Notamacropus eugenii: one gene and its partners. The protein of the gene in region 2 interacts with the protein of the main gene of each other region in a biochemical or structural test. Links are inferred from orthologs where the notes say so. Each region holds a gene or a part of one and is shown on either strand. Other genes may lie near its edges.

Region 1 (7,487 bases), on a different chromosome or scaffold from region 2:
ATACTAGTTCATGGTTAAAGTTGAACCTTTTAGTCTTAAGATTTCTTAAAGACAGAATACGAATCAGTTTAATCAGAAAGGTTCAAGCACTCATCATGTTTTAAAAGCTGCCTTCCCCATTCCCTTAAGATCCAAATAATAATTGCCTCACCACTTCTATTCCATTCATAAAACCACTTTAGGACAAATATAAAAAATATTTTCTCAACAGTCAGTATCACACTGAATAAAAAACTTCCATAATCCAATTCTTAGGGCGAACGTTCTGGTTACCGAAAGCATGTTACTTGAGGTAACTAAAGACTTTCACAGGCCACAGCATCAAGTATTTTGATTATCATAGGGCCGGTTTCAGAATTTATATTCCCAAAGAATGGACATACCAACTCAGGTTGAAGCTTAACAGAGAAACGGTTCAATTTTCAAAGTTTTACAGACTTTTCAACTGTAAGGAACACTAGAAATCATTTCGTCAGACACCTTCACTTACAGATGAGGAAACTGAGGTCTGGTGAGGATTAGTGACCTCAGATCTCCTGACTCGTGGGTCACTATATTACATCCCAATTTTGCATCAATGTAACATAAAAAGATGATTCTGATTATTTCTGCAAAACTTAAATTTCCTTCAGTCATACTATTAAGCTTTGTACTCCCTTCTCTTCCCTCTCCACCAGTAAAACATGAAAATGCTTTCCTGACCTATAAATACCTAAAATGAACATAAAAGCATAAAAAATAACAATTATACCACCATAAAAGGATAATGGGGAAGGGAGAAGGGAAAGGGAAAAAGAGACTCTGAAACAGACGATTCTCCGGCAAAAGGAGAAGTCAGAGCTGATTCCGAACCTTGTTTTGGGTTCCAGGCTGCATCCAACCCAAGGAAGGCAGGGCCTAGGTCTCAAAGAAACTCTTCCCCAGTGCCCAGCACAGGCTTCTGCCGCACCAAAGCTGAACGCAAAACATAACTCTTCTGCTTTTTGGAGAACACAGCTCTTACAAAAACTGAACAGCTCCAAGAAGTAACAAGAACAGATCCTGGTTTCCCCCCATCTTCCTTCCTTTCTTGGGTGAAGGTGCTAATTCAGGGGAAACGGATGTCCTTAATCCACAAAGAGTAAACAGTGACTTAACACCATAGTACGTCCTTTGATTGGCAGGGCAGTCCCTAGTGTATTCCAATGTATTTTCAATTAAATTCTGCCCTAAATGTTACAGAAGATGACGAAACGTACCTAAGCATCTATGGTAAAGAAGCGCTTTCTTTCTCCCTTCCGTCCGAGGGCCCTCGCAACACCTGACGTCTCCATCCCGCGGCCCCCCACACCCTCACCTGACGGCCACACCCACTGCGAGGGTGACCCAACTGGAGGCTGTAAACAAGGGTGCCGGGCCGGCCCGCAGCCGGCGGGAGTCCCCAGTGGCCTACGAGTGCTCGGGAGAAGACGGCAGGCGCCCGCCGGGCTCGGAGGATGGGCGGCGGGGCACGACGAGGGGGGGAACCAGGCGGCCCCGGGGCAGGGTCTCCCCGTGGGAAAGGCAACAGCCGCAGGACTCAGTTTGGGCCCGAAGACCAGAGGCTGGGCTGGGGACTGAACCCGCCCGGGGCAAAGGGCAGCCCGTCCGGAGGAGGGTCGACGCGACATCGGAGCGAGGGCCGCGCTCCCCCCGACCCCACCGAGGGACTCCCCCAGAAGGCCCGAAGGGATTTGGGGTAGGAAGGTTTGCTTTCGGAGACGGCGCGCCGTCGGCCTAGGCTGAGCCTGAGACCCGAGGAGGGGGCGGCCGGCGGAGAAGCCGCGACCAAGGCCAGGAGAGAAAAAGAGGAAGCGTCCGAGGAAAGCCCCAGGGCGGGCGAAGAGAACCCCCCGCGTCCCCCCGGACGCGCCCGGGCCCGGCCCCGCCTCCTCGGCCTCGCCTCCCCCGCGACGCCGCCGCGGAGCCCCGCGGAAGCCGCCCCACCGAGGATTCGCTCCCGGCGAGTCGGAGCAGGACTTACTGACCGGCTAGTGGACGCCATCTTGACGGCGGCCGCGGTGGAGGTTTCGATGAGACCCCCAGGCGGAACGAAAAACAGCACAGCGGAACAGAGAGAAGCGCAAGGACAACTCCGGGAAGCCGCAGGCGGCGCCGCTTTTATAGGCAGACAGCGCGCAGCCGTAGTAAGACGCGCGGACTACGGAACGGGAGAGGAGCCAAGAAGCTCCACTGCTCACGGGCTTCGCCTTTTCTTCCGCCGGCGCCCCTCGGGTGTAATTAACTCAGCCTCCCCTGGGAGTCAGCTGACTCGACTTGAGTGAGGCTCGTCCTGAATGAAAGCCGGAAACGACCGGACGAGAAAAGCTTTCGCTGAAGTGCGTAGAGCCGGGTTACGTCCTCCGGGGCTGCCCCGCACCGTCATGCCTGAAATTGACGCGGTAAGTGCAGCTTTTGTGCTCAGGAGCCTTTATCATCGAGGACCTCCCCAAACCTTTGTTTATGTGGCTTATATCCGTCAGTAGAAATTTAAACTGATAAAATTTTAAAATATTTACAAGTTTATTAATAAAATAAAAACAAACCCATTCCATGTGAGCATCAATCACTCAACCCTATATAATTATATATTTATAAATAACATTAATTCTGTGTGTCTGTCTGTAGTTAGGTGGTGCAGTGGATAGGTAGAGGGCCAAGCCTGGAGTCAGGAAGATCCGAGTTCAAATCCAGCCTCATGTACTTCCTAGCTGCGTGACCCTGGGCAAGTCACTTAACCCGTCTTTGCCTCATGTGTATGAAAGGACACACTGGAAAAGGAAATGGCAAACCACCCCAATGTCTTCGCCAAGAAAACCTCATCGACATTGACTGAACAATAAATATAATATTGTGATGTGTATTATTATATTATCATTAAACATTTAATAAGCACCAAGTATGCGGTAGGCACTGCGCTAAACACTGAGGTCAGAAAAAGTGGCAAAAGACAGTCCCTGCCTTCAAAGATCTTACAAACTAATGGGAAAACAGCGTATCAATAGTTATCTAAAAAGCAAACTGTGCAAGATAAAAAAATAATTATTTAAGAATATATATATATACATAAATATATATATATGCATATATATGGAAGACCCCAGAATTAAGAGGAGTTGGTAAAGATTTCCTGTAAAAGCATAATTTTATGAAAAAAAACACGATTTTCCAAAACAAAAATTAGGGAGACAAGTGGCAGTTTATCATATTTTTACATAACTCTTTAATATCTAGCTTAAATAGAAGACAGCGAGATTCTCTTACCTGCTTCTGCAGTCTGTGAGCACCTTAGAAGCCATAAGAAGAAAGTTTGTGCCCTGGTACAAAGGAAAGAAGGATACCTTCCAGAAGTTTGCATATTTATAACAGCAGGACAAAGGAAGGAGGAGATACCAGATATCTCCACTTAAAGGGGTATGGCAAGGGAGGGGGAAAGGTGCAGGAAAATTGGGAAAAGGAGAAAACCGCTCTTGAAGGGGAGGAGCAAAAGCCCCATTCTTTTCTAGGCTATGAAAATGGAATGGTCTTCTTATCTACAGGGTCCCAGCGACATAAGCAGTTTCTCAGCCTAGTGAAGACTGACTGGCCCCTTGTCTTGACTCCCAAGGGCACACAGAGAGTCCAATTGATGCACTTTAAGGGGCTCAGGGATCCCCAAAGACCTGAGTACTGGACAGGGTCATATGGAATGAATTCATGGACTCAAGTATTCTGTAAGTCAAGGTGACAAAGGTTTATTGTAATGCCAATATGCTAGGCAGTGTTCCCTAAGGAACTTGCCACTTAACAGGAATGATGCTAAAGCTAATATAGGAAAACTAGTGAATTATCCAGCAGATATGCTAATTAAATGATAACTTATAACCTTGTTCACAGGCATCATTCACTATTGGAAACCGGGGGAAGGGGTTTCTCAGGGGTGTATTTTTGATCTGTTATGTCTGTAGTGTTGACCTGAATACTTTGTTAAAGAAAAGTCAACAGGCTAAATGCATACATTTTATGATTTAATTAATTAATTAATCAATTCCCTATTAAAGACAACGGTAACATAATGCATTATGGAGCCAGAAATGTTCTGGCTACCCAGTGCAGAAATCTTCTGGCTTATATACATTTTGCTGTGAGAAAGGAACTCTCCTAGTTGAACAAATCATAAATTTAGTAAGACAAGACAATTAACAAAGTAATGTTGGTCAGGCCTTGCAATTCCAGCTGGGTAAACATATGTCTCGGTGATAAGGAAGGAAATCCCACCACTAGTGAGTGGCAGGCTTCCTGCCCTAAACAGATAACTGACAGGAAAGGGTAAACAAAGTTCAATAGAAATTACGACCTAAGATGTCTATATTTTCTTTACCATTAATATGCCATGACATAGTATGTGTCTATCCCATTATTCAAGATAGTATCTTAGGTTAAAGGTCTCCTAAGGAATGTAGAGTCAACCTTGGCTGGCTTTGTTGACATAGGAAGAGGCATTCTCTGAGTTTGCTTCAGAGAGAACAAAGAGATTATTCCAAAATTTTATATTAAACATTATCAGTAGCAAGGTAGCTTTGAGAGTTGATGTCTATAACTTGACCTCTGGATTGAATATGATAACTTTGTGAATCAATACATGGCAATTCGGTGGTTACAAGATAGTCCTGTTTTTACAAGAGAACTTCTTCAGAGGTCAGCTTGTTCTTGTGATGGGGCCCACTCCTGAGTAATTGTGGGGAAAGGTAGTTTGTTTTACTGGGGCGCACTCATGAGTTATTGCTAGGCATAGTGTCCTAGGGCTGGGGTGAAAATTGTCAGGGATAGTGTTTTTTGAAACTAAGGAGAAATGGTATCTTGAAATTGGGATAAAAGCACAAGCACCCAAGCACCCCATCACAGTTTGGGATGAAAACAGCAAATTACATCAGCTGGGGAAGATGTGGAGGCAGGGAGCTTTGTCCTTCACGCATTCAGGGCCTCTTGGATATTCTAGGTTCAGTGTTTCTGGAAAAATATGGCAACTCAAAATGGCAAATTCAGGAGACCCCTTCACTGTCCTTAACATGTTCCACCAAGCTGTATCGTGTATTTAGAACTGAAAGGACTCTCAGAGACCAGCTAGTCTAAACTCCACATTTTACAGATGAAGAAACTGAGACCCTGGGAAGGTGTAGAGATTTCTAAGAGTTCACATGGGTAGTAAAGAGCTGAGCTGAATTCAAACCCAGGACCTCTGACTCCAAATACAACAGTCTTTTCATTGTGCCATGTTTTCATAGCCCCAGTTACAATGGAGAGCAACATGGTACAATCTTAGTTCAGTCCTATATTTATTATGGGTATGCTCTGTGTGTAAAGACTAATGAAAAATAGGTTGGGCCTACACAGAGCTTGTTGCCCACCATATAATTCTGTTCATTAGTGTCAATAAAATATGCCCATTTTATTATTTAATAATAGGTATTATCAAATTTATTAAAATCTTGCTTCCCCTGAATAAGAACTGTCTTGGGCAATAGAGGAAAGCATGAATAAGGTAGTAGAAATTACCTTGGATGAAAAATCAGAAAGCTCAGATTCCTTCCTTTTCCAAGAGAAAGACAACCTTTAAGGCAGGAGTCTGCTTCTTCAAATCAAATGCTTTTTTTTTAATAGACAGAAAACAATAGGCAGTGAGGGGTCTTTAGGATTTTCCACCTCTTCTAGTCAACTGTGTGACTGTAAAAAAATGGGAAAGCTACCAGTCAGACCACCAAGGTGTGCCTTATACAGCAAGACAAAACAATAAAATTCATTGGAAGGAACCAAAGGCCTCGACCTAGGATTTCAAGGGAAATCATAAAAAAAAAGTAGGAATTCAGGGAGAATAACTTCCAGACCTCAAATTATATGACAAATGAATCATCATCAAAACTGTTTTGGCATTGGTCCTGGAATCAGGAGGATCTGAGTTCAAATATGGCATCAAACACTAGGCAAGTCACTCAACCCCAGTTGTCTCCAAAACAAACAAACCAAACACACACACACACACACAAAAACTATTCTGATACTGGTTGAAAAATAGAAAAGATCTATAGAACAGCTAGCATAAGGAATCCCTGGAAACAATTCTACTCGATTTTTGTTTTTCTATTGTTGTCATTTTATTCACATCTGACTCATTGTGGCCCAGTTTGGGGTTTTCTTGACAAAGATACTTGAGTGATTTGCCATTTCCTTCTCCAGCTCATTTGACAGGTGAAGAAACTGAGGCAAACAGGGTTGAGTGACTTGCCCAGGGTCATGCAGCTAGTAAGAATCTGAGCCCAGATTTGAGATCAGGAAGATGAGTCTTCCTTACTCCATGCCCAGCATTCTGTGTGTACACACACACACACACACACACACACACACACACACACACACATATACACACACACATACACACACATACATTGAATAAATGCAGATATATACAAAATAGTTAAATATAGGGTCGTTTGAGAAGGACACTAGCAGTTGGGGGGGGATTACATGAAGATGGTACTAGGGGTATGTCTTTTTTCTTTTTTTTTGGAAGCAGTCAGGGTTTAGTGACTTGCCCAGAGTTACACAGCTAGTAGATGTTCTTCATTCCAGGCCCACCACTCTATTCACCGATCCACCTAGCTGCCCTGATAATTAATGGGAAATTTGGTCATCTTGTAATATAATACTCATAGTAAACAGTGCCTCCCAAAAAATCACCATGAAAATCATGGCAATTTTTGCATCGATATGTATGTAGAGAATGAGAGGAACAAAAATTCTATGAAGACCTTGATGAAACCCCTCTATATTAAATCAACATGTACAGTAATACTTGGTGATTTAGAGATATATACAAATATATCTATACATATATAGATCTCTCTATGCATGTATGCATATATGTATAGTTTTAAAAATTCATTTCTTACACCTAAGCCGGGGTGGGCAACCTATGACCTCGAGGTCACAGGTTCCCCACTCCTGACTTGAGCGTTATTTCAAAGAGAGAAAGAAGAGAAGGGAAAGAACACAGATCAGGAGTAAGAAATGAAAGTAAGCAAGAAGTAAGAAATGAAAAGAAAACTCCAAGGCTTCCAGTGTATGTTGAATTCTCATGTCTCCATATAATGGATACAGGCTTCAAGAAAAGTCAGGAAGGATACTCCAAATGATGTCACCAACAATGAATGTGATTATATTTTAATAGAAAAAGTGACTGGGCACCAATGTGGGAGTCATTTCTGAATCAGCTATTCTTACGCAACTAGCACATGAAGTTCTTAGAAGATTCAAATTCGTATGAAATTAAAAGTAAAAATAACATGGGTGCAATTAAGATAACTCCAACCTGACTTGTTTCAACAAGTTATTGATGTCCAAAATGAGAGATGGTTTAAAGACAGACATAGACACAAGAGGTCCCCATTACTAAGGAAATTTAAGCAATGTAAATTGATTACCATAACAAATTG
Region 2 (8,022 bases):
GGGGAGAAGCTTTGGGGTGTGGCTCTGTCCCAAGAGCTCTGAGGCTCCCTCTCAGTTTGAAGGGTCAACAATAAAATCCTTTCCTCTTCTTCCCCACTGAGAGTTCAGACCAGAGAGTCAAGTGTAACTCAGGCTTACTTTGCTGCTCTTATCGGTATGGGGCTCCCTAGAAGACAGATTTCTCCTTAGGGACTAGCAGAGGGTGGGGTGGAGGAGTGCGGAGGCAGGGGACACTTTCAGAGTCCGTGTCCTCAATGGCTCGTTTTAACGCCAAGGAAGAAAAACGACTTTTAGAAGCTTGAAACTTAACCAAATTACTTGCTGCCAACTAAGGAAGAGATTTTATTTAGACTGAATTTAGGCTGCTGGACACAGAAATTGTTAGGAAAAAGGTGCTCCCTTCTTCAGCCTGGCACAGATGATTGAGCCCACAAGCGAACCCAGGAAGTCCCCCACATCCCCGCTTCCTTCCCCACCCCCAGAGGGCTCAAGTCTCCACTCAGTCCCAGGGCAACGTCCTGAAGGGCAACAGGAAAGTCCTATTTGGCAAGGCTCTTCCAATGAAAATAAAAAGAGGGAATAAATTAACCTCAAACCAGCTAGTTGGGGTGTAGTAGTTTAGCAGGACTAATTGCAGACAATGGAGCTGAAATGACTTTTCCAATTAGCTGCTGGTTGGAGTTTAGTTGGAGGAACTGTCAGCTCCAACGATGGGTAATTGCTTTACTGCTCACAAAACTATCATCTATTTAGAACATATGTGCTAATTACTCTGGATGGGCGTCGAGAAAGAGACCATAAATCTATTAGCACTTTAAAAAGTCTATGGTGCTTGTAAGCAACCCAACTCCCCTCCATATTATCGGATGCACAGGTTGGCGTGATGGATGGGTGTCTTTCCGAAAAGCAAATATATTTTCCACTGGAGGCAGCGAGAGGATGTACTGGTCAAATTCCATCAAGGGGAGGGGGAGAGAGTCCTGCCCACTCATTTCACTCCAGCGATAAATCAGTGTCACCAAGCCCTCTTTAGTGGCATTGCGCTTTTTTTCTTTTTGCAAAAGATTACTTTAGAAATCTTTTAATTGGATTACACTGGAAAATTAATCTCTTTAGGCTTGACTAAATTTGTTGTACCCAACATTGAGAGTGAAATCTAAGTCACCGAAGGCAAGGATACACTGATGAGCTTTCCTCCTCCTGAAGCCCGCCCTAACCCAAGCCTTTTTCCCAGGGTCAAGGAGCAGAGCTCTGCAGATCCTTTTAGGGGATCTTGGCTCCTGAAGTCCTAGATCCCTCCAGCTGCACCTACTGGGGCGGGAAGGGGGGATGGTGCTGGATCAGGACCGTGGCTGGGATAATAATGAAGAAAGCTACAACAGGCCGCTCACGTCTTTTCTGGGTGAATCCTCTTAATTCCGGGCGCCACTTTTCCACCTTCTTTCACTTACTGCTTAAACAACTTCAGTACTCTCAGCTTGCTTGCAATCAGCAATCGGAGCCCCGTCCTATAACCCCCTTGCCTGTGTCAAACTTTCAGGGGTTTCAGCCCTGCTTGCGGAGACTCAACTAACCTGGTAAGAAAAATTAGTAGCGACATATATTGGGCTAACATCCCACCTCCCCGGTATTTTCACCCAAAGTCCCTGATTAAGGCTCCGGCAATCCTAGAGAAGACTAAGAACAAAGCTGCACTACCTTCCCTTACCTAACTGTATCCTCAAGCTCAACTTCTTGCGTAAAAACGCACGACTTGCTCTTGGAGTGTTCTCTGTGGCACTACCTAGGAGATTTCCCTTTCTGGTGCTCTTGGCCTCTCTGATCCGACCCCAGTCCGATACCGGTCTCGCCAGTCCTCACAACCCAGCAGCCCCTAAAGCAGTCGACTTACTCGACTTCTCACTTCTCCCAGAGTTGGTAACTGATTTCCCTGCTCACCAGTTCCCTACTTCCCAGAAGTTGGTTCTGAGGGAACCAGCATCCCTCCAGAGGAGCGAATTCGACCTGACCTCCAGTAATTTCTCTGGCGGTTTGCCGCGATTATCTGCGGGAGATTACAACATCTGTATGAAATGGGATACCTCACTTTTTAAGCTCAATTTAGCTCTTAATAGCAGCCCTGTGAGGTGTGGTTAATTGGTGGGGATAAAGGCATAATGACTTGACAAGGGAGACCACAATGATCCGTTAATGTATTTAAAAACAACAAACCCAAACAGTGACATTGTCATTTCATGGAATGGGGTCGGGGGAGAAAGGGATCTAGGTATTTCAAAAGCAGAGCATTTGCAACTAGTACCTGACTGTGTCTTTCTGTTGGGAGTCCTGGCTCTGGTTGGCTCTGGCACAGAATATCCAGTGTCTGCCTGGCAGAACTTCCTCCCATCAGAAAGGGGTTAAGGGAGCCACATTGGACTTTGGGGACAACCTTCGGGGAGTTTGGGGTCTGGACCAAGGTGAAAGCTCAGGCAGAACAGGTGATTAGAATGGCTGTGTGTTGTTAGTGGGGTTGGGGGGGGGGGGGGTGGGAGACTGGAGTTTCGAGGGTCAGGACTGACCTAGCTATACTTTCAAAGAGGCTCGGATTCAGCCATACTCCATCCTTTCTTAAGTCCCAAACTCTAGATTCCAAACATATTCTGTCCTTTCAGTACAGAACCTCTTCTCGCCTCTTGGATCGGGGGTTGGGAGCGGAGGAAGAACTACCAACTCTGGGAATTCTACTGCTTATTCAGAAGTCAGTGACTTGAAACATCGGCATTGCTTTAAGTCTATCACAACAGGAAGTAGAGTACTATACAGACAACCACAGAGACAGGTATGTGAATTGGTTAGAGGCCATACACATATGGGGGGATATGACATGTGAGACCTTCCTCAAAACATACAAGAACTGTGATAAACCGCTTAAGGAGGTGGACATAGCTACACAAAGATTTCTTAGAGCTACGTGAACTTCATAACTACAAAATAGTCATAAAGATTCACATTTTAAAGCCATCCTTCCAATTCAACTCAAACTATGATTTACCCATCGATAGTCAGGTCTCTCTCTCAAATGAGATTAAAGCACTTAAACACATAGGTGTTTAAAATGAGCTCTCTCTCTCTCTCTCTCTCCCCTTCTCCCCCATTCTTCCTCCTTTTCTTTCTCCAGTCCCCAACCCCCTGCCCCAAGTCACTTCCCAACCGCGTGTCCTATTTTAGGTTGACATAAACACTAATAAAAAAAGCAACAGAATCTTACGGAAATCGGGACGTCCTTTCTGTGTGAAATTGTCAATGCTCTCTGGGGTTAGGGCCGCAAGCTTCCCTTTCATGTTTTGCAGTGTCTCCTGTTGAAAATGTTTACAGTTTGGAGAATGCTAACCTTGATTTTTCAGGTTTGAGCTCCCTCTGGAAGCGGAAAGAGAAATGACTCCACATTACTGTACATATTTTATTGCAATGATAGATCGCAGGTGTTTCAGCTGCTATTGTCTGCTTCCCTCCCAAAGAGATAGAGCTACAAGAAACTTAGTTAACTTGTCCTTTTGAAGAGCTGAGGAGCTCATGGTATCATTGGTTCAAGAAGTTCTGGGTGTCAAGGATTTTGAGATTAAAATTCTAAATTCCTCAGATTTACCTATGTCTTGCCTGTCCAATCTTTTAGCCTATTACTGTTATTGCCACTTCAACATTTGTGGTCTTTCAGTGCTGAATCATTAAAAAATCAAGATTTAAATGCTGGTTAACCCATGTGTTCTACTTCCTCTGCAGAGCGAATTAGGGGAAGGATGGCTTTAGATGAATAGCCAGATCCCTAGCCTACAAGATATCTGATATATGTCAATGCTAGAGCATTTCTTTTTACAAAGGTCAGATCACTGACACTTAGAGTAGACTCTCTTCCTTCCCCCTCCTCCCCATTCAAGAAGCCCCTTCATCCAATCAATCTGAAGAAGAAAAAAAAACCAGAGGCAAGAAAGTCTTTCTTAAGTCTTTGGTGGTCTTTAACCTCAGAACCCAGTATTTGTTTTCCTCTGGGTACCTATGTGTTCACTTTCCCAGCCCAATCAAGCCATGGGATTGACTAGCAGGCAGGAGGCCCCAAATGTCATCTTTTACTTTGATGTTTGCCCTAAGAGGCATCCTGGCCTAGTGGATAGAAAAACGTCCTTGAAGCCAGGAAGACCTGAATTCAATTTCAGTCTCTGACATATTGACTGTGACTTTGCACATGCATGTCACTTAATCTCCCAGAGCTCTAGGTAACTTTCTAAGAGTATAAGTAACAGAAAAGCTGCCCAACAGCACTGGAAGGGGGAATTTGCTCACTTGAGAGTTCCTTAATCAATGAAATCACAGGTCTGATCTCTATCATGTATCTACCCATCCTCTCTCAAGTCACGTATCATTGCCTTCTTCTACCTCTCTACTGAAATAAGTTCCCTTATAAATAAATCACCAATTTATGGCAGTCTAAATGAGATCCTATTGTGTAGGAGTCCTTCCGCCACCACTCTTGTCCTTCCTCTTTTGCTGGAGATTATATCTTGAGAGGAACCATGGAGTATCTGCAGCCTCTTTGTCTAGAGGATAATATGACCCCAGGAGGAAGGGAAACAAGTCTCAGTTCTCTGTTTTCTGAGAAACCATTGGTTTCCTTTCTACCATAGAGGTGTTGTAGGGTGCAAGAAGAAACATCAGCATCAGTGAGGTGAGTGGTTAGGTCCAGGAAGAGACACATTAGCTAGACCAAAAGGGCCAACTTTTTTAGGATTTAGCCTGCAGTTGCATAGTAGGGAAGGTGGGGCAGAAAGACTGTTTGCAGAGGAGTGTGTGGAAATCTGGGTCACATTTTTCTGTGAAGGGTAAGATTGGGATGAGTTTTGGGAGGAAAAAAAAGGTGGAGTCAATGGGGTTGGTTAAGACAGAAAGGTATGTGGAAGTGGAACACGTGGGCAGAAAGCCTGGGAAGTGGGGCCAACCCGACCTGGGGAGGGGCAAAACTCCCTTCTCAACTCTCCTCCAAGTCCCATTGCCGATGGCCTAGCCCTATTAGTCGCCAGGTAAACGTCTCTCTAGCTCTGGACAGTTCATTCGAGGTTCAGGGAGAGTGTCAGTCCTCCTTGACGTCTTCTATTCCTCTCCTGAGTGCAGTTTGTCAGATGCCGTCAGGGATGCAGCTTGGGATGCCGTCTGCACCCTGCCCTAGACTACAAAGATAGTGATGGTGAAAGATCGAGAGCTCAAAAAACGATGCCTGCAACTCCGCCCTCCCCCTTCCCCTATTCTCAATAGCTGAAATCTTTCTAGTGCTTCTCCGAAAAAGCATTTTCTTTCAAAGGCCAGTGAGCGCCTAAGCAGACTGTGCTGCACGTAGTCAGTTGCACCTTCAATAGATGTTCACCTAGGAGTGTCAGGGAGAAGGTCCCAGAGCATGGAGGGGGGCGCCCTGAACCCAGCTTCCTAGAATAATGAGCTTTTGGTGTGGGTGCAAACTGTCGGAAAACAACTTTGTTCCTGATTAAGTTCAGAAACATTCCTCTTCAAGGCTGTTCCAAAGCTGAGAAATTGCTGTTTTGCAGAAACAGGTCTTGAGAGAGTGCAGTCTAAGGAGTTTATCTAGAGGTATTTGTAATCTTTCCAAATGATAGCGCTGGCATTGAGATCGCCACCAGGACACTGAATAGTATCTTCCTTCAGACAGGGATCGAGAAGAGGAAATATACCACTGTGCAGCCAAGCTGTGCTGAGGACTGATTGAAAGAAACTGCTGCTCCAGATGTTGCTCTAGCTGGCTTGCGAAGTGTGAGCAGGTAATTCCGGGAAAAGTGACATTGTTAACAGAAAGCATCTAATTAACAATGACTTCATTTGATTGGAAGGATGAAAAAGCCTTTTTAAATCAATCCAGATTGACTGGCCTGAGCAGAGCCAATTTATGAATATGGAGGCCGAATGGGGTCTGCTTTCTTTCAAAGATGTCATTCGAGGGATAATAGCATAGGTGAAGTCATTTGGCTACAGGGTGGAAACTTTTATAGGGCCTTCCTTGGGAATTTAATTCAGTGCTTCTTCATTTTATTAGGAACAGACTGACTCCATCAACTGGGCTCTCCCTGTTTAGAGACAAGACTGCTTGAAGCAATTAGGTTCACCAATTAGCATAGTTTTACTGACCCGGGCAACAGCAGCTCTGGCTCCTCAGATTATCCGCTTCTTCAAAGTCCCGGGAAAACGGAGAAAAACATGCTACCCAGGTGTGCCAGGAAGGAGTTGAGCCTACAAACAGGTTAGCTATTCTGGTTCTGATAAAAAAGTTCTCCTCTCAGTAGTGGTACCTTAAGATAGATGCTGCAGAGACATGTAAACATTTTTCTTCCCTTTCTTGACCAAGGACCTCATTCTAGTCACTACTCATTTTGTTACTTTATCTTACACACCCTGACACTTCCCTCCCCCTCCACTTTGGTTGTTATGTTTGGGCAGAATCCTTTCCAGGAAGGTACATTTCCTGCCTCTCCTTCCCCTGTCCTGATGGTTCTCAGGAAAAGGCCAGGGCCCAGGGATAATTTGCTGCCTTCCTGCCTGAAACCATGTTAGACATCAAGGTAAGGGAGCATGTCTAGGACTGGTGAGACTTCATGAGGCAAAAAAAGATGTGTGTGTGTGTGTTTGTGTGTGTGTGTGTGTGTGTGTGTGTGTGTATGTGGTGGGGGGTTGTGTGGGGACTTAGCCTGAGTTCTTACTCATTCTGATATGGCAGAAATTATCTTGATCTTGATTCCCTCAGACCATTAACCGTTAGTGTGATGCTCAAAGGTTTCCTAAAGGGCAGTGTGAACACCATATTGCCCTTTGAGTACCATCTTTAATTCCAGAAAATATCAGAAGGGCCAAGTAGGCTGGCTAAGAAGCTTTGCTGTGGACTGCAATGGGTATACTTTCAGTAGATCAGCAAAACTTCTCCTTCTGACCAGGATCTCCTTCAGGTACCTTTTCAGCTGAAAGGGGAACTTTTTTGTTGAGATCTGTCTTCTCCAACTTATATTGGTTGTCTCTCTCCCCTACAAATGCATATTCTTACCTAAGAATTTCACTAAATTAAATTTCTGACAGTTCATCAGTAGCAACTACTGTGAAATTCCCTTAACCTTATTAAATCAATAAATGCCAGATCCATGCATTGAATTAAAATAATGCATCAGCATGGCTACGAATTGCAATCATATGGTCATGGTCCTTAGACCGATTTAGGGATTGTCCAGTTAGTACTGTTTAGATTTATCTTTCTTCTTTGGGCCAGGACCTGGACAGCAAAGTCTGTCTGAGGCTTTGAAAATTCTTTCCCTCTGATTACTATTTACATTGAACTCCACAAATGAAGTAGATGTTTGACAACAATGATACAATGTGGATCATATATTTCTTGTCAATCACTGTTTTTCATCATGGAAATATACTGTCATTTAGAGCACATTGTTCTGTGTAAAGATAATCCTCAGGGGTAGAATTGTGTGCATGTGCTTGAATAGGCACATATGCCAACATTGCTCTGATCTATGTTTGCACTCATGAATATACTGTATATATACACCTTGATGAAGATGCATTGATAGCTGTAACAATTGCGCAGTGTGTTCTCTCAGCATCAAAACAGATTAAATGGTATCTTACCAGCATTGTTAAGTGAATTAAAAGATAAAGATATTTTGTAATTTAAAAAAGTTGTTTATTGAGCTTAATTTGCTCCAAAGAATTTACCCTATGTGGTAGAATGACATTTTTCAAGTCTTTAAACTTGGCATGGTACTTACAAAGTCACACACTTTGAATTATTTCATTCTGTACATGAAAGGACATCTCAAAGGTGACTTCTCAGAAGCTAGTCAGTTAAGTTGTAGTCTGGCAGGCAAATTTGCAGTTAGTCCTCACTGAAAGCTTTGAGTGTATTAAACACTCGGAAATTGAATAGCAAAAAATAACATCATATTTGCAGATATTTGCTCTTAGTTGCTAATGATGCTAATAATTAAA
Region 3 (7,611 bases), on a different chromosome or scaffold from region 2:
GTTAAATGACTTGAGAATGTTGAGGAGTATTTGTTTAGCTGCTGGAATGCATTTTTTTTAAAGGGGGAGACAAGAGAAGGGAATTATTTTTCCACTTTAAAGAAATTTTTGACACTTGCTGATTTTTAAAAAATTAAGACAGAATATTGAAAAGCCGTATTTCTTTACTTTAAGCCGTTTTCATCATTCTTCAGGATCAATTAATTTTTCTAAAAGGAAAAGTCCTTGACTGAGTGCCATCTGTCAAACAGACTAGTAAACTGTCTTTAGTCACTAAAGCCAGAGTGAATACACGTGCAACCTGTACTTCTTGTAATTTCCACAACATGTTAATTTTCACGTTCTTTTTTTGAAGTACCTTTTATTATAATCAAACCACTGATAGATCAAAGGCAGGGTGAGGGAGATCCCTGGAACAAGAATGAAAATAATTCGTGGGACAGAAACATTTCTGGTCCCAGTGCCATTGTAGCTGGCAGTGCTGGGGGAAAGAGTGGAAGAAAAGGAAAGGCGGTGGGGTAGGTGGGGGTGGGGGGCGAGTTCAGCTCGCCCCGGGAGAGAGGCTAGTTCTTCTTGTTTGTCTGCTGTCACCGATTGTGACTTGATATCGACAGAGTGAGAAAACAGAACAGTGGGCCCAGCTGCAGACGGAGGCGGGGTCGAGGGATAGGTCAAGGTTGGAAAAGAGACTGCTATTGATCTGGCTTTGAACGCGAGACAGGAGAGCAAGGAGACTAAAGGGGGAGCTGTGAGACAAGACATTAACAGCTTTCAGTGCTAATGATCACAAGTGCCAGACGGGGGAGAGAAAAAAAAGAAGAGACTGGAGCAGCAGTTAGGCTCTCTCTCTCTCTCTCTCTCTCTCTCTCTCTCTCTCTCTCTCTCTCTCTCTCTCTCTCTCTCTCTCTCTCTCTCTTTCTCTCTCTCTCTCTCCCTCCCTCTCCTCTTCTCTCTCTCTTTTTTCTATATTTACTTTCTTTTTCTCTTCTCTTTTTTTCTTTCTCCTCTATATTTTCTTTCCTTCCCTCTCCTCTCTCTCTCTCTCTCTCTCTCTCTCTCTCTCTCTCTCTCTCTCTCTCTCTCTCTCTCTCTCTCTCTCTTTCTCTCTCTCTTTTCATTTTTTAGGGGCAAAAATAAAAGGGCACACCTTTTTGATGAAACAGGCCAGATACCTTATCAGTGGAAGCAGAGAAGGCACCATCACACTGCCGGGATAGGCACTGTGTGCTCCCCACGCCTAGTTCAGGTTTGAGAAAGTAATAAGGAAACTCACCCATGGGTTTATCATTTATTTATCCCAGGTTCCTGAGTGAAATGCCCACTGACAGTCACTGTCTGAAGCTGCCAGCGACTTCCTGGTTGGACATGCAGAGATGGAAAGAGGATCCAGGGAAGAAATAAGGAAGGAATTCCAATTACTCCCCCCCCTTCGTAATTCCATCCCAAACTTAAGGGAATCCTGCTGAGGTCTGGATCGCTATGAAAAGTGCTTTATCTCCCCAGAGAAAGGTGAATTCTTCTCACCCTGTGGATCACTTTTCTGATGTCCCGTTGGCCTCCTTTTTCGTGTTTCCTTCCCTCTCAGAAGAACCCACAGTTTGTCTTCTCCCTCTCTCTTCCTACTCAGGTCTTGAGTTTCTTGGCTTAGCTTGTGGAACGATTTTATATCACCTGAAAAAACTACAGTTAGGTGACATCAAATTTCTCTGTGTATTATATAGGAATGTATATAGCATATGTATGATATATATGTATACAAACATACGTATTTTGTGTATATGTGTTAGTATAAAGGGGCATATATGTATATATATATGTGTATATACATACATGTATATATATGTGTGTATATATGTTATAAACAAAAAACAAGGAGACTGAAGTGCGTGTGTTCTCAGACTCCTAGAAAGGGTAAATAGATTCAGGGTAGTCAGTCTAAGGTATGCCTCTGAACTTTTTGGAGAGGTGTAAGCGAAGGGTCATTTTCTTTGAACACAAGCGGCATTCCTAGAAAGCTTTCCGTGACCCCCGACTCATCGATCATCTTGACGTTAGGTGAGGCGGCAGCTTTTCAGACTTCAGGTAAATGGAGGTAGGGCATGGAAAGATTTATGCAGAAATCTCTCTCTCTCTCTCTCTCTCTCTCTCTCTCTCTCTTTCTCTCCCTCCCTGTCTCTCTCTCTCTCTCCCTCTCTCTCTCTCTCCCCCCGCCCCTCCCCCCCGCCCGCCTCCCACGGTGGAAAAAAGCCCCTGTCCCCCGGGGGCGCTGTCTCTCCACCTAAGCCTCAACCCTGTGCCCTACAGTTTGGCCCTTATGATCTCACCACCCGGTTCGGCTCTACTGGCTCACCTCCTAGCAGAAGATGCTACTCATTCAAAAACTGCGCCCACCCCACCCCCACCCCAGCCGTTCCCCCTTGCGCTCCTCACTCTGCCTCCGGCGCTATCATTTGAGAGCAGTTCACATCTCCCCCCTCCCCCCCATTCGATTGTTTGCATAACTTTATGAGTTGACTAATTTTTTTTTTTTAAAGTAGAGTAGGATTTCTGGACGCACTCAAAATTGCTACGAGCAGTTACTATCCAGGATGCTAATTTCCTTTATAGGACCCTAAAAGCAAACAAATAACTACCACCCCACCACCCCCAGCCCATAAAGAATGAGGGGGAGGGGAGAAAAATAAACTGCTTAAGAGGTGCTAAATGCATACTACTTCTTAGCTGTTTGTGCAGACTCGCTTCTGAGCTGGTCCCTGAGAGTAGAGAGGGGCGGGGAATGGAGAAGGGGGCAGCGCTGCCCCGGAGGCCTGGGCCTCCCAGGTCACTGTCTGGAGTGCTGGGAATACGAAGTGTAGGAAAAGGAAGGCTAGGAGTGAGAGGCGAGTCTTAGAGAAGGCTTGCATTTTAAACCTCCCTGGGGACCAAGGGAGGTCCCAAAGTGGCTTATCCTCCGCTTAACAAAAGTTATCTTTCCTACGCCGTAGCCCTGAAAGCCACCTATGGGGAAGGGGAGATGAGAAAAATAGGCTGAAATGAGGAAGGTGGAGGGTAGAGTTCCAGGGATTCTACATACAGACACATACACATACACTTTTAGCCTGGGGTTCGCAGCCCTGCCTTTTTCCGGGTTTGGGCCTTGGAGTGATGCCTAAAAGGTAGTTGTATCCTTCCCAATTAAACTAGAAGGAGACAGGGAAGACTTTTAAGGGCCGTATAAATATCCCCTCTTCTTTAGATGGGTAGTGTCAGACATTCTACTGCTGAGAAACGAGTTTCTTAAGGGTATTTTGTGCCTCTCTGGCAGGGGATTCCACAGAGAGTCATGGTTAAGGGACCACGTTCAAGCTCCTCTGTGCCTTGAATTTCTTCACGAGCCAAAAGTGAATAGATAAAGGATGCCTCCGCCACCCTGCCAGAGGCATCGAACTCTGATCAACATTACAACCCTTATCTTTGCCCCCCAAACCCCCCCCCCCCCCCAAACGCTCTATGCAGATTTCAGAGTAATTGGGAGAGGGAAGGGAATGTTTGACACGAACTGACTTCAAGTAAGGAACTAGGATGAGTGTCTTTCGGGGAAAACTACGCTCAGACCGGGGGTGGGGGGATGGAAGGGAAAGAGGAGGGGGAAGGCAGATTACCAAAACAGGAGTCTCATAAAATAAGGAAGACCGCACTTCAATCTCGGCCAGAACTCTCCCTACCTCAACCGACCCCTCCGCCCTATATACAGCACTGAGGTTCTAAAAGAATCATTTTCTAGAAGAGTTTTAACAATCTTTCCTCTCCCTAAATAACTCTATACCAACCCTCAAAGAACCCACTACCTAACTTACTTGACTGGAATTTTTTTGGCGGGGTGGTTAAATAATTGGCCATCCCCCTTTCTACCTCTTCCCCAACCCGTCTCATTACAACTCCAACTATTTCCAAGTTGCTTCATATGCTCTCCCCCACATCCAAAATGATATCTTATTGGGGGGTGAAAGTGAAGGAGTTTTCCACTAGGAAAGAAGACCCTAGCTGTCGGGGTTTGTATATCTTCCATCTCCTATATCCTTCCATCAATCCAGGGTATTGCCCGCAAGAGTGGTGGACAGGTGAAGAATATTTTGTCATAATTACCATCATTTAAAAAAAAAATTACGAATTCCCCTCTGTCCCCCCAAACATGTACCATGGAAAAGCAGAAGCGCACAAAAACCCGATTTGTACATGTGGTTGGGTTGGTGTGTGTGCATGTGCGCTCGTGTGTATGTATGTGTGTGTGTGTGTGTTTTCTTGTTCTCTTGCAGGGTACAATGTTAAAAAGCCACCACTAGTCGCCCCCAGTGCTCCGACTCTCTGGGTCTTTTTGTCTCTAGTGCAGATTAAACGTCACGTCCGCACTTGAACTTGAATTTTATCCCATTGTACAGAGGCAGCCCCAGCCATAGAGAGACAGAGAGCTCCCAGAGAACCTGGACTCCGCCATCTTCACATTGCAATATATATTTATATATATATATATAATAGTAATAGCTCGCACCGACCCAGCAGCACTGGGCTACCGTCCTACCTTCCTTCCCCTGTGCCAGGCGAGGGAGAACAGTGCAAAGTGGTGCAGGGACTCTGGGAACCCAAGGCATAGGGCGAGCGTTCCAGGTGAACTGGAAAGGAGACACTACTGAGCTGCCCCCCAAAACCAGCCAAAAGGGTTAGTGTCAGAAAAAATTGGGGGGCACTTTTATGTTTCTTTTTTTTCTTTTTTCTTTTTTTTTGGCAAGGGGCGGGGGAAAACAAGTCCCAAGTTTTATTTTATTTTATTCTTTTTCATATTCTTTTTTCCGTCCTGGTGGAAGTGCGCTTTCCACCTACCAGAGACTTTGGAGAAAAGTGTCACGGGTTGGTGCAAAATCCTCTAAGTTCAAGAAGACATTTGGAAGTCCAAGTGGCCAAACAGTTTGGAGAAGTGAGAGACAGATATTTTTTTTTCTTTACCTCTTAAATTTTTTTTTTCTAAATATTGGGGGGATTTCATCTAGTGCACGACAACAACAAGAGTTTTTTTTCTTTCTAAAATTTAAATTTGAAAGTTTTTTAAACTAGAAGAACAAAATAAAGAAGAAGAAGAAGAGGAGAAAAAGGGGGCAAGAAAGAAAGAAGGAAAAAAAGAGGCGGGGAGCAGCAGCGGCTTTAACCTCCACCCCCCTCCCCTCTCCATTCCCCCCAACCGGTACAGCTCTCCGGGCGATGTCAGTGTAAATGCCAGGCAATGTCCCGCCGCAAACAGGGGAACCCGCAACACTTGTCACAAAGGGAGATTATCACACGTAAGTCTCAATTTGAAACTAGAAGAATTAGGAGCCTAGGGCTCCGGGGGTGTTGGGGAGAGGGAAACGGATTGGGAGAGTGTGTGTGGGGGGTGTCTTTAAAAAAAAGTCTTGGGGAAAAAGAGGAGGGGGTGGGGGAGAGACAGCCGAGGCTGATGTTAGTCATTGGAAATCGGAGGGGAGAAGGGGGGATTGAAAGGCTGGGGAAAGGAAGGCTGGGGTGGGGGGAGGCGAGAAAGCTTAAAGTTTCTTTTGCATCGGGGTGCTGCCGGCAGCGTGGGAGAGACAACCGCGCCGCCGGCTTTGGGGAAAGATGCAGCCCGGGAACGGGCTGGAAGGCCGGGCCGGGGGGTCGGGGGGTTTGCAGGGGAGAAGGTGTGTGTAGGGGGCACTTGGGGTGGATTGCACGGTGCACGGTGTGTGGCGGCGGCAGGACTGGGGAGGGGACGAGAGTGGGGGAGAGGAGGGGTTTGGGTGAGGAATCTGTGTGGTTTTTTTTAGGAGGGTGGATACGCAGAGCCTGGAAGTGGGGGGAAAAGTTGGAGCTTGGCTGACCGGGGGAGGAAGCGGGTGGCTGCGGGGCTGCGCTCAGGGCCCGGTTCTTGGGAGAGTTGGGGGAGACTTGAGGTAATGGCGCGGGGGGGAGGGGCGCGGCGCGCGGCGGCAGCGGCGGCGGCGGCGGCTGCCGGGGATCCGGGCAGGCAGGCGGGCAGGCAGCCGGGGAGGAGCCCTCTGCGCCCGCCAGCCAGCCCGCGGGAAAAGAGTCAGGTCCTCGGGACTCTGAGCCTGGAGAGGGGAGGGGAGCCCAGGCTGCAGGCCAGTGCAGCTTTCCAGGTGCTGCAGACCAATCCACCCCCCCCCACCCCCAGCAAAACAACTGAACTTGGTAGCTGCTTGCCCAGCCTCAGCACCCCCCTACTTTCTCCCCCCACCCCATTTCCCCACCTCCGTGTCTCCTGGGATAATCCTGCTTTCTTTTCCCCCTCCCTTCCCCCCCAAAAGGTGGGGAGACTTGAGCTGTTGAAAAATTCCTACCACTGGGAAAAGTATGTCAGCTAAGAATGGGAGAGATTGGGGTGCACCTATCCATCTAAAAGTAGATACCTATCCATCTATCATCTATCAATCGAATCCATCTTCTTCCCTGTCTAAATCAACACAAGCAAAGATAGCCCTCATTTGCAGTCAACTACACTGAGAAAGCGAGTTGCTGGGAGGATAGATTCACTTTAGGAGAGCCAAGTCTGGAAACACCATGTGTAAGCTGCAGTTTCCAACGCTCTTGCAAAAAAGAAAGAGAAAGGAAGAGATAGAGAACAAAATAGACAAACGTACACAAAGGTAGACGGAGGAAAGCCTCCCAGACGCTGGAAGATGAAGTCCAGGCTCTCAGTGGCACCGGTGGCCAAAGGTCTGGCTGCACCTCCTGCCGCACACAAGCTTTCTCCCTTTCTCTCTAGCCCTCTGCCTGCAACGCGTGCTTCACTTCTCAGCCGCGCGCAATTTTTTTTATTGCAATAGAAATAAAACATCCTCTGGGTGCAATCAGGATCCGAGGCAGGTTGTTTTCTCGCAATTCACCATAAACCTATTATGGTTGTGGCCAAAACGCCCCGGCTGTGTTCGGGAGGGCTGTGCGCCGAGCAGCCGAGGGCTGTCTGGAGACGGTGGAAATGCGAATATTTATGTTATATTTTTAAAAAATTTAAATAAATAAATAAAGATATAAATAAATAAATAAATATATGGGGTCTTCCCCTCCCCTGAAAACCAAGAATAGAAGCCATCTGCTAGGAGCTTTGGGTGTTGCGATCTGTTCTTTGTTACAGAGAGAAATTTGTAAGAATTTGGTGGATTATTTTTTGAAGGGGGGTATGGGAGGGATATATTTGAGTCGCGTTTGGCTTTAAATGGGGATGACCTTTTTGGAGGGAAGGGGAGGAAGCTCACTTTAATTTTGTATCCCCCCCCCACCTTTGTGAGAACATAAATGAAGATTCAACCTGGTTACATTGTTATTTAAAAGAAACAAAATGTTTCGCAACCAGATTTGAGCTTCATTTATTTTCTTTTCTTAAAAATAAAGGTACTTTAGGCTAATTGACATTTTCTTCTTTTACCGAGGAGTAACAATCACAATGTCCCCCTTTTTTTGGGGGGGGAAGGAATTGAAAAACGTCTACCCGGTAGACATGAATCTAATTTCCTGAGAATTCAATCTCCCCCCCCCCACCCCAAGTATTTTCTTTATGATTGCTTAGGTTGTTTTTTGGGGAGGGGGAAAGGTGGGGGGAGTTGT

Evidence for each region. The genes of interacting proteins can lie anywhere in the genome.
Region 1: the proteins of NR2F1 (region 2) and GTF2B form a complex in vitro, tested with the Homo sapiens proteins (2 studies listed by BioGRID and IntAct). The link is inferred for Notamacropus eugenii from reciprocal best matches to the Homo sapiens genes NR2F1 and GTF2B.
Region 3: the proteins of NR2F1 (region 2) and BCL11B form a complex in vitro, tested with the Homo sapiens proteins (2 studies listed by BioGRID). The link is inferred for Notamacropus eugenii from reciprocal best matches to the Homo sapiens genes NR2F1 and BCL11B.

Annotation. Positions count from the first base shown.
Region 1 is NC_092873.1:499,140,798-499,148,284, forward strand, and holds the start of GTF2B (transcription initiation factor IIB), read right to left. Parts: upstream 3,172-7,487; 5' UTR 2,024-3,171; coding exon 2,007-2,023; intron 1-2,006. UniProt on the Homo sapiens protein: General transcription factor that plays a role in transcription initiation by RNA polymerase II (Pol II). Involved in the pre-initiation complex (PIC) formation and Pol II recruitment at promoter DNA.
Region 2 is NC_092875.1:445,983,661-445,991,682, forward strand, and holds the start of NR2F1 (COUP transcription factor 1), read right to left. Parts: upstream 3,342-8,022; 5' UTR 3,248-3,341; intron 1-3,247. UniProt on the Homo sapiens protein: Coup (chicken ovalbumin upstream promoter) transcription factor binds to the ovalbumin promoter and, in conjunction with another protein (S300-II) stimulates initiation of transcription. Binds to both direct repeats and palindromes of the 5'-AGGTCA-3' motif.
Region 3 is NC_092872.1:356,898,333-356,905,943, forward strand, and holds the start of BCL11B (B-cell lymphoma/leukemia 11B), read left to right. Parts: upstream 1-4,440; 5' UTR 4,441-5,254; coding exon 5,255-5,312; intron 5,313-7,611. UniProt on the Homo sapiens protein: Key regulator of both differentiation and survival of T-lymphocytes during thymocyte development in mammals.